2 linked regions of the Danio rerio genome follow. Each later gene encodes a partner of the first gene's protein in a complex. Links are inferred from orthologs where the notes say so. Each region holds a gene or a part of one and is shown on either strand. Other genes may lie near its edges.

Region 1 (5,769 bases):
CAGACAGACAGACAGACAGACAGACAGACAGACAGACAGACAGACAGACAGACAGACAGACAGACAGACAGACAGACAGACAGACAGACAGACAGACAGACAGATAGATAGATAGATAGATAGATAGATAGATAGATAGATAGATAGATAGATAGATAGATAGATAGATAGATAGCATAAGCACATGCTGAGTGAAAGGTAACTATTGCCCACTTTTACCATTTTGATTGTAATTTAAAAAAAAAACAAAAACTGTGATGACCTCTCGAAAGAAACAATTGCTGACCTCACTTCCTCAGTTTCATTGAGATCAGAAACAGGTCTCTTGGGACACACAGCATGACCTTGCTTAAGGCCAACTTCTGCATCCGCAACAGAAAAATAAATCACTCCACTGCAGTGTAACAGGCATCTGTGTTTGTATAGATGCAGGGAATTAAACTTTCATCACATACCAGTTTACATACATGTGTGTGGGTGTGGGTACATATGCGTTGAAAAACTGGAAGGATCTGTTTATGATTACAGGTAGCTCATAAAATAAAAACTGTCTAACTACTTGAAAACAACCCCAGGTATTAAAGTGATAATTCACCCCAAAATAAAAAACTCTTTATTTACTCCCCCTGAAGTGGTTCCAAAACTTTATGAGTTTGTTTATTCTGTTGAACACTAAAGAAGTTATTTAGAAGCAAGCTAAAACACGTAACCATTGATTTAACAGAAGAAAATAAGAAGCAGAAATCAAACAGGTCTGGAGCAAGTAAAGGGTGAGTAAAGGAAGACAGATTTTTTAAATTTGTGTGCAAAACTGCATGGATCAATTTATTGAAAATAATGTCTGTTACTGAAATATGCAGTTGAAAACCCATGAAAGATTTGCTATTTGAAAAAAAAAAAACATTAATTTTGGCCTAGGGGGACCTCTGAGTGCGTAATGGTTGATTTTTATTTATTTTTTTATTTTTTTGCAACACAGCTGAAAAAGGTACTGGTACAATGCCACATTGTGCAGCTTTTAATTTTCACAAAAAGAGCAGCGAGAGAATTATTTAGGTCTTCACTGCGAAAGATGAGAAAAGAACAGGACAATACCTTTGCACAAATAAAACTTAGTGCCTTTGCACTTTCCACTTCATCCCTGATGTCTTTGAGGCTTTCAGTAGACAACGGCTAGAGGAAGAGCTTAAAGATGGCGATGGATACAAGCATAGTCTTAAAGAGATACTTGACGAATCAGTAAGTGTACAGTTTAACATCTAGCGTTTCTTCTCCCTGTATTTTCTTAGTATTGATTTCAAACATCTTTTTGAACATTCAAACTTCTTTTGGGAATGATGAACAGCAGAAAAGCCTTAATTCACTTCTTTTGGTATTCTTCAATTGAAAAGCACAACCAAAAGCCTTGCAAAGTGATCACTTTGTCTTTATCTCTGCCTGTCTGTCTGTCTGCCCATTCATCTGCACATCCGTCTGACCATCCATCCATTTATCTATCTGTCTGTCTAGATTTTATTTTCCAAGTTGTGTTGTGGTAAAAACAGCAACATGCACAGCAGCTCACTACCTGATCTCATACAAAGCACACTCTTACCCTTCATGTTATACAGGTGCTGGTCTACATTCAGAATATCTTCAAAAAGTTGATTTCAGTAATTCCACTCAAGAAGTAAAAGTTGTATATTGTATACATTCATTCCACACAGACTGATATATTTCAAGCAATTCTTTTAATTTAATGACAACTTATGAAAACCCTAAATTCAGTATCTCAGAAAATTTGAATATGGTGAAAAGGTTCAGTATTGAAGACACCTGGTGCCACATTCTAATCAGCTAATTAACTCAAAACACCTGCAAAGACCTTTAAATGGTCTCTCCGTTTAGTTTTGTAGGCTACACAATCATGTGGAAGACGGCTGATTACACAGTTTGCCAAAAAATGACCACTATCACCTTGCACAAGGCACAAAAGGTCATTGCATAAGAGGCTGGCTGTTCACAGAGCTCTGGGTCCAGGCACATTACCAGAGAGGTAAAGGGAAAAAAAGATGTGGTAGAAGATTACAAGCATTAGGGATAACTACATCCTGGAGAGTTGAGTAACAAAACTCATTCAAAAATGTGGAGGAGATTCACAAAGAGTGGACTGCAGCTGGAGTCAGTGCTTCAAGAACCACTACGCACAGACGTGTGCAAGACATGGGTGTCAGCTGTCACATTCCTTGTTTCTTTTGAGCAACAGACAGCATCAGAAGTGTCTCGTCTGAGCTAAAGTCTGGACTGCTGCTGAGTGATTTTCCAACAGGACTTGGCACCTGCACACAGTGCCAAAGCAACCAGCACTGCTTTAAGCACCTGTTCTTAATTGGACAGCAAACTCACCCTACCTTAATCCCATAGAAAACCAATAGGTAGGGCCAGACAGAATCTGCAGACATTTTTTTGCTATTTCTGCAGAGAATTTTGGTAAAAAATCTGCGGATTTCTGCTGGATTATTTTGGGAGTATAATGACTAAAACCTTAATATGTGATTATAATAATACCTTTTTAACTTTTATTTAATTTTTAAAATGCAAATCCAATCAGATTCACTTTATTTGGTAAACAAGGTAAGTCTTTCATATAATATATCTACTAAAAGATAGAAAATATTACATTACAAACTGCACTGTACGTAAATCAGATGAACATTTTCATATTAGTCAACAATATTACTGTAATTAATTTAAAAACTGAATAAACTTAGATTTACTCAAGTAAATAAACAGATTTAATGACGGGCTAAAAATCTGCTGAATTCTGCACGCGCAGATACCATATGGGACTACCAATGGGGTATTGTAAAAAGGAAGATGCAATGTGCCAAACCAAACTATGCAGAAGATCTGAGGGCCACTATCAGAGCAACCTGGGCTCTCATAACACTTGAGCAGTGCCACAGACTTATCAACTCCATGCCACGCCGTAATGCTGCAGTAATATAAAAGTTTTGCTTCTTGAATGGAATTAGTGAAATAAATCAACTTTTTGAAGATAATCTAATTACATGACCAGCACTTGGATTAAGTCATATAAATCCTAATACCCTGAGCTTCTTTTTCATCTTTTTTTTGTCAATCATTTATGAATAACCAGGCAACCAAAAACAATGATCAGCATCAAGTTTTGAGAACTGCACACTATATGCGCTCAGCTTTCAAGCCCTGAGGGGTTTGTCCTGTTGCCATATTATTAACAAACTTAGGTAACAAGTAGTTAAATTCATTGAACTTTTTCAAATCAGCACTACATGTAGCCGGAGGTGAGTGGTGTACTGAGAATCACGTAACACCTCTGGAATGCCAGCAAGGTGTGTCATTAAACAGTACACAGAAGAGATAGAGATCTGTAGTACTCAAAACATACTCATTGTTATGGAACTTCCTGTAGGAATACACATGAGGGGTACAGTGGAGCGGTTCTAGCCAGTTCTAGCCTGAAGAAAATCTAGATCCAGCTGGAAAGATGTAGAAATTCTCCATAATTACTGTTCAAGTGATGTGCACATCATCAATGAGGAGTAAAGCTTTCATTTAACAATACCTTTCTAAACACAACAACACATTCCTGTCTAAACCTAAATAAGGATGGTTTAATAAATTTATCATCAGTAACACTGATTTTTATCATAAAATGAATAGTTCTCTGTTCTCAATAACACACATTTCAACCATGATCTCAGCTGATGTCTGGGGTAATTCATCAAAGAAAGCAGAAATTCTGTCTTAATCTGCATAACCTCAGTGACCTTTCTCTTTCCATGAAACATGGTTTCACAGAAAACATAAATATAACTATTGGACCAGTTCAAAACACATGAGAGTGAGAAAAACCTGAACGGCCTCTTTTAAGAGAGTGATGAGATATACTTACACTCTGGTCATTCTGTGAGGCATAAACACCAAGTCTGCTGTCCCCGAGCTGACCTGTAAGCCCTGGTGTTGCTGATAGCCGAATATCTCTCTGCAGTTTGGCTAGATCTCGTCGGTACAGTCGAATCTTTGTTGACATGGGGGTTCGGAAGGATGATGGAGCACCAAACAGCTCCTGCTCCATACCCTGAAGCTGAGAGAGGTTTTACATGTTTAATGATAAACTCAGAGAAGGCGGCAGACAGTCACTGTTTCTGTTCCTGTGTTTTTACACATAATATCATGCAAAAGTTTGGCGACTTCTCAAAATATTTTTTAAAGAATTGTCATATGCTCATCAAGGCTGCATTCATTTAATCAACAATCCTCTAAAAAAAGTAATACTGTGAAATATGCTTAAACTTTTTCCTCTGCTGTTGTCTTAGAACTTTGTATACACCGGCGTGCACTGTTGTATAACCTTTAAAATAAAGCTGTGAAAATAATTTTAATCCTCATATCTGTTGTGCATTAAGAAACAATCTCATCTTCATCACAAACTCTGTAAACATTTATCAATGTTTAATCAGGACAACTCATTCTTGGCTAAAGTAAAGGGCATATTTTCTATATCTAAAGTACCTGCATAAGTGTAAAATGTTTTAGAATTAAAATGTTTTGGCATTATAGTTGGCCATCTATATAAAATTTACCCAAAAGACAACTGTTGTACCCTAAATGTGTACAGCCTTTATAACAATATGAAAATGATGAATTTTTTCAAATGTTGGGGAAATTTTAGAAGCAATCAAACTTTAAGATAAAGAAATTGTTTATTTCTTTTTTGCTGTTAAAACGGTGTCTGGGTGCCCGGGTCATTTTGACCCATGAGTCAACAGGAGGGTTAAAATTATTGTTTTCTATTTTCTAATATTTTAAAACATAATTTACTTATGTTCTGCTCAAACTGCATTTACTACATGATTTCTTCACGATGCCATGTGAAATTATCAGACAGAATTTACAAATCATTCCAATATGTGATTTGAGCAGATTAACATAACATAAAAACATATTTATATAAACAGAAAAAAAAACTTTATTTTAAACAAAAAATCCCTTGTAACATTTATGGATGTGTGAAATGCAAAGAACAAACATTTATATTGTGTCAACTTACTCATTTATTCAGAAAACACATTAACATGCTGATTTGCTCAGATTATTTATTATATATACATACATACAAACATTTATATATATATATATATATATATATATATATATATATATATATATATATATATATATATATATATATATACACAGAATGTTTTTTATCCTTTGCAGCACTATATCTGTTATTACAGATAATTTTGATCAATTTAAAACATTCTTGTTGTATAAAAGTTTTATTTTAGCGTTAATAATTTAAGTAAAGCTAATGCTATACATTATATAACACAGTACAGCTAGGCCTACTACAGTATCTCAGCACTTTGTGTCCTAACAAGGGCAATTTTGTGAAGCAATACTGCCACCTGCTGTCGTAAACTGTCCAAACACAACCACTTGCAATATAGATCATCAAAACTTTCAGAAGAATCAATATTGCTCACCAAAACCATCACCCTTCATAATCTCTGCTCCTTTTTGCTGGAATGAGCTGCCAACCTTCAACTGACATCAATTTAATTTCTATTCTAGTATTCTAATAAACATTGTATGGCATATCGGGATATACTGCTGCTGATAATGTTTTCTCTGTGCATTGGATAAAGTTGGATTGGATAAAAGAGTCTGCTTATAGAATACACATGGAAGTAATGTAAATGTCTCAGGGTTCTCACTACTTCAAAGTATTGTTTTTATTTT
Region 2 (6,231 bases), on another chromosome or scaffold:
TGTAAACAATATACAAAGCAGTTTGACATTACATTTTATCATTAATTCATCATTAAATTTAGTGTTTTGTTTTACTTATACTGCTAAAAAAATAATAATAATAAATTAGGTTTACAGTATATATGCATTGAATTGCATAATTTTAAAATCTTTTACCTAAAGGTAACGTTTTGCCTAATAATAATGCAAAAGGTTACATTTATAAATTACATAATGAATAAGGTTATAATAACATTATAATAAAGGTTACATTAATAAATTATATTATTAGGTTATAATAAATAAAAATCGAAGAATTTTTGATGTAACTCGTAATATAATAGTTAAAGCTTAATTTTAATTATTTTTTTTGTTTATTTTATGCATAAACAGATAACTCATAAATTGTCTTTTGTTAGTTGCACAGATATCAAAGCATATTCATAATTTTAAACAATTACATTTATATTTCTTTTAGTTTTTATATTTAACTAATTTAAAATATAATTATTTAATTAAATAAATGGTAATCGTTTATTAAGGGAAAAACTGGCATGAAACTGTCTAATCACGAGCGACAATGCTATTTTGAATAGTTTAGTTTCACTCAAACATAAAATATATACATGTATTATTTCAAATATATACATATATTATAACGTTTTATCATAATTTGGTTGTACATCATCAAAGAAGCGCGTAAGCTCATCGATTATTTTACATATTTCAAAGCAATTTTTTTCGGTATGAGAATTCAGATGACAGTAGCTGATAGACCGCTCTTAATGTCATCCAATCTCCTAATTCCTGTTAAAACATCAGCATTAAAACGATTAATATTTTTCAATCCCCTTCAATTATTATTTTGCATTATATTAGAACATTTTCTTCATTTAATTGAATGCATTGTAGCGCATTAAGACATCCAAAAATCTTAATTTCAATATGCATCCTTTATTATTGTGTTTTACGATCGCCATCATGATGACAGGATTATCAAGGTTTTTTATAAGATAAAGATGCTTACCAGCACAACAGTGTCAGGCGCTGTTTATTTCATATCGATGTCGTTTAGTAAAATAATACTAACCGAACAAAACATTTAAAACCCAAACGCAAGCAGATGGCAGTCTAGGAAGCTTATGCAATCAGACAGAGTCCTTATGATAGAAAAATGAATGACCGGCGGATAAACATATCCCACAATCCCCTCGCGACAGCTGCGCTTCACTGTACACTGCTGCTGTTTGGCGGTTCTCTTCGGGATAAATGCGCTCTGTTTACTTTTGCCAACAGTTTTATTAACATTATATGTGTGCGAATTACATTTATACGTCTTTTACGGATAATAAGAATAGTTTTCGTCGGTGTTTGGCGTCTTTTGGAGTATTTTTAGAAGGTTGTTAGCCGATTAGCTCTTTAAAAATGGCTGATCCATGGAATCGAGGTAAGTGACACGTAGCAGTTCTCTTTTAATATGCAGTTCTTACACTTTTTAAGCAGTACTATAGCTAAGTTACATGATATTATACATGATATTAAAATATTATAAAGCTTTTATTGTCTAACAGTAGCTTCGGTTGTTGATTTTGCCTGAACAAATTTACTTAAATATGAAGGTGTTCAGGTGAGAATGTTGTAACAGCCCAAAATTATTGAATAATAATGTAATTTTCAGGACATGGAGCTGTGGATGACATGCTGGATGCTGAAAACAAGCGGATGGCGGAAAATCTGGCCAGTAAAGTCTCGAGACTAAAGTCTGTAAGTCAGAACTAGTCCAAGATCTGCTAAAATCTATTATTATTATTATTATTTTGAGTATAATGAGCTACACTGAAAAGCATTTTGAAAATCTCAATGGTGTTTTAAAATTTCCCAGAAATCAAGTATAAATAAAGTTGGTTTAATACTCAGAGATTCAGATATTCTCCTTAATAATATAATTTCAGTATCCCTTATACATTTTAAATGTGGAAGTCATATTATCAGCCAATAACTATCAAAGTATAACATTGTTCACAGTCAATTAAATAGTGCTAATGTTGTTTTAAAGTCATACTTGCATGCGATTTCAGACTCCAGAGTTTTCAATGTAACATGGTAAACCACATGGGGACAAGTTGTCATTGTTCAAAAATGAGCAAATGTGCAAATATAAGACCAACTTCACCTCAATTTCACTTCTTATTAAACTAAACATTTAGCTAAAAACATCAGTCTAAAAAGATTCAGTTTTACATAAATATTTCCCTCAGCATTTCTTTTCAATTCCAGCAAGTGGAAAAAAGTGTCTTGTGTGTATGGTATGAACAAGGCTGAGGTTTTCTCCTTTTCTGAAAGAGGTGGCATAGGCAAAAAATCTAAATGTTTTCTTAGATCTGCTTCTCATAAAAACTTCTATGTATAATATTATAAAGAAAATTTTGGCATATTTAAATGGTCATGAGGTAGTAAATATTTATTTTCTTGCCATAAAGTATTTAGTCTGTCTGTCTGTCTGTCTGTTGTTTTTATTGTCTCTTATAACAAAAGTTTTTTGTTGAAACCTTTTGAGAGTGCACATTAAATGTTGAAAATAAATGATTTTTTTTCAAGAACTGTTCCATCATAATCACCCATTGACTAATATAATGTCTTATTATAATTAATTTATATATTTAGTTAATTGATACTTTTGATGTTTTAAAAAAAATTACATTGTATGCTTTGTTATATTTATATAATTCTGGTTTAGTGTAAATTTGTATTTTTTTTTTTTTGGTATTTTATTCTGTTGTTTTATCTTAATATAAATTAGTTTTTTGTTTTTTTTTTTGTATTGGTTTTGATGATGATTTGATGTAAGTTTTTTTATTTTATTTGTTGGACCCCAGGAAGAATAGTCAATACATTAAAAAGTGCCTAATGGAGATCTAAATAAACACATTTAATAAAATCTAAATATATAATTTTATTTAAAATAAAATCATTTATATTTTGTTTTCTCCTTCGCAGCTAGCATACGACATTGACAAAGATGCGGAAGAACAGAATGCCTATTTGGATGGGATGGTAAGTGTAAATTCACGGTGGCTGATATCCAATTACAAAAATTGCACCTGCAAATTAAGTAAAAATCTTCATCGGTTTGAAAGCAAATCCTCACAACGCAAACAAATAAAGAAAACACACTGCATTCTGCACTGGACACAACAGAAATGTTTTAAGTTGACTCAAAAGCATGACAGACCTGTCTGGGATTTGCTTATTGTGCCTTGACTATTGCTCAGTAAAGTGATCTTTGTTTATTTTAACATCCTGATTCCACCAATCCATTTGTCTTTTGTATATTATTAGCTTCAATAACCATAACCTAAATATCTAAGTCCATCACGTTTTAGTCTCCCCTTGAAATATTTCTGTTGTGTGCAATGCTATTTGCCTGTGTTGTGAGAAAATGCAGCTTGCATTCTTAATTTGGTTGCATTGTGAGTATTTGCAACCTGTGGAAAATCTTTGCTTAATTTGCTGGTGTTTTTTGTAATTGCATGTGTTTTCTTAAATTGCAGTGTGTTAATCTCTCTTGGCCACGGTATGCATGAGTGTGTTAATGCTGTATTTGCAGTGTTGGCAGAAGGCTGTAACTCGTCATCATGTGCTTTTACATCCTTGTTTACTCAGGACTCCAACTTTCTCAGCACAACTGGTTTGTTGACTGGAAGCGTGAAGAGGTTTTCCACAATGGTCCGATCGGGTCGAGACAACAGAAAGATCCTGTGTTACGTGTCCGTGGGTCTGGTTGTGGCCTTCTTCCTGCTTTATTATCTGGTGTCCCGGATGCAGAACTGATGGGTGGTTTTGGTTGCTCATGTTTTAAGCTGGTTTCTCAGTTCTATGAGAGTTTATGGGGATTGTCTCTGTTATTTGGGGATTTCAGAGAAGCGCACAGGTTATGCTTTTTCATCATTATTAAGTGAAAACAGATGCAGTTTGAGAATGGTTGATCACATGTAACTCCAAGCTCTTTGTTTACATGTTCAAAATTAAGTTTATTCAGTGTGTATTTTTATTCATACTTCAATCAAAGAAACCCACATGGACCAATATTAGATTGATTAAAAGCTTACTTTTCTGATTTCCATGAGCTCTATTTTTATCACTGTAAAATATGTAAGAAAATGCAACTAATTTTTGATAATTATGTACATTAAAAATGTTATTGCGAATGCTTCATGTCATGATTCTTTCTGTGTGTGTTTTTCCATCCAGCCTCGATAAACGGCATACATTTAAACTCTTTCAAATTGTTTGATTGTCAAGAGCATCAATGATGTTTATTTACATTAATCTGTATATTTTAATTGGAAAATAATAAGTTCATCAATTCATTTTATGTTTATGTTTGTGTTGAGCTGATGCTGTGGTGGTCATAGAGGAGGGGAGTGCATGAGACTGATTCCTGAAAGACCACAATGGCACACAAGTCCCCGCACCAATCCTGTGGGCCAGCCTGATCACCCCCCGTGACCTACTCACACCTGCAGCTTCTCCACGATGGACGTCCAACGTTCTCCAGCCTCCGTAGCCTAAATTGCAGCTCCACACAAGAAGTTCGGGCAGATGAAAAATGGTCATGCCTAACAGAGCCTGGTTTCTCTTGAGGTTTTTTTTCCCTTCACTTCATTATTCATTTATTCATTCATTTCCTTGTCGGCTTGGTCCCTTTATTAATCCGGGGTCGCCACAGCAAATTGAACTCATCCAGCATGTTTTTACGCAGTGGATGCCCTTCCAGCCACAACCCATCCCTGGGAAACATCCACACACACACTCATTCACACTCATACACTACGGATAATTTTAGCCTACCCAATTCACCTGTACCGCATGTCTTTGGACTGTGGGGGAAACCGAAGCACCCGGAGGAAACCCACTCAAATGCAGGGAGAACATGCAAACTCCACACAGAAACGCCAACTGACCTAGCCGAGGCTCAAACCAGCAACCCTCTTGCTGTGAGGCGACAGCACTACCTACTGCGCCACTGCGTCGCCTTCACTTCGTCTGTTGAATTTTATTTATTCATTTTTTCCCCTCTTGCCACTGTCGCCACTGGCTGGCTTGGTTTGGGACTTGTGGAGCTGCGCATCGATGGATTTGCGCTTCAGTGTTTGAACCTTCAGCAGTGAAATGTAAACCACACTGAACTGAACTAAACTTCAACTCTGAAAACTGGACTTTACTAGAGCTTAAATGTAAAGCTGTTTTGACACAATCTACATTGTAAAAGCGCTATATAAATAAACATTAATTGAATTGATTATTTCTATAGCACTTTTACAATGTGGATTGTGTCAAAACCGCTTAACATAGAAGTTCAAGTTAATTGAAACTGTCAGTCCAGTCAGTTTAGCTCAGTTCAGTGTGGTTTAATTTTCACTGCTGAAAGTTCAAACACTGAAGAGCAAATCCATCGATGTTTGCTGCTACACAAGTCCCAAACCAAGCAAGACAGCGGCGAGCACCAAACTTCACCAATTGACGAAAGTGAAGGGGAAAAAACCTTGAGAGAAACCAGGCTCAGTTGAGTATGACCATTACTTCTTTGGCCAAACTTCTTGTGCAGAGCTGGAGTCTAGCTGCTGCAGATCGCTGGACGTCCATCGTGGAGAAGCTGCAGATGTGTGCAGGTCACCGGCGGGTGTTCAGGCTGGTCGGGGGCCTACAATTAGTCTTAACTTGTCTGTTGTAAAATCTGAGACAATATTTGGTCCATAAAAAATGAAAAATGCATTAAGTAGCATATAGATTTATAAAATTAAATTAGATTTTGTTGTACCTCACATTCGCACTATTCATTCATTTTCTTTTCAGCTTAATCCCTTTAATAATCAGGGGTCGCCACAGTGGAATGAACTGTCAACTTATCCAGCATATGTTTTACGCAGTGGATGCCCTGCCACCTGCAACCCATCACTGGGAAACACACATACAAACTCATTCACACACATGCACTACGGACAATTTAGCTTGGTTCACCTATAGCGCATGTCTTTAGACTGGTGGAAACCAGAGCACCCGGAGGAAACCCACACCAACACGGGGAGAACATGCAAACTCCACACAGAAATGCCAACTGACCCAGCCGAGGCTCAAACCAGCAACCTTCTTGCTGTGAAGTGATCGTGCAGCCCCTATTTGCACTATATATTTTTAATTGTTTATTAGTAGTAGTAGTGGTATTTAGATATTTGATTAATATACAGTAGT

What was found.
Region 2: vti1b (region 1) and bet1l share a complex: the UniProt entries of both Homo sapiens proteins name them as parts of the SNARE complex. The link is inferred for Danio rerio from reciprocal best matches to the Homo sapiens genes VTI1B and BET1L.

The regions. Positions count from the first base shown.
Region 1 is NC_133188.1:36,483,476-36,489,244, forward strand, and holds part of vti1b (vesicle transport through interaction with t-SNAREs homolog 1B), read right to left. Parts: intron 4,109-5,769; coding exon 3,917-4,108; exon of another isoform or gene 2,088-3,916; intron 2,010-2,087; exon of another isoform or gene 971-2,009; intron 1-970. UniProt on the Homo sapiens protein: V-SNARE that mediates vesicle transport pathways through interactions with t-SNAREs on the target membrane. These interactions are proposed to mediate aspects of the specificity of vesicle trafficking and to promote fusion of the lipid bilayers.
Region 2 is NC_133200.1:8,366,939-8,373,169, reverse strand, and holds the end of bet1l (BET1-like protein), read left to right. Parts: intron 1-1,006; exon of another isoform or gene 1,007-1,126; intron 1,127-1,166; exon of another isoform or gene 1,167-1,404; coding exon of another isoform or gene 1,405-1,426; intron 1,427-1,657; coding exon of another isoform or gene 1,658-1,677; coding exon 1,678-1,743; intron 1,744-2,976; coding exon 2,977-3,033; intron 3,034-3,642; coding exon 3,643-3,810; 3' UTR 3,811-4,190; downstream 4,191-6,231. UniProt on the Homo sapiens protein: Vesicle SNARE required for targeting and fusion of retrograde transport vesicles with the Golgi complex. Required for the integrity of the Golgi complex.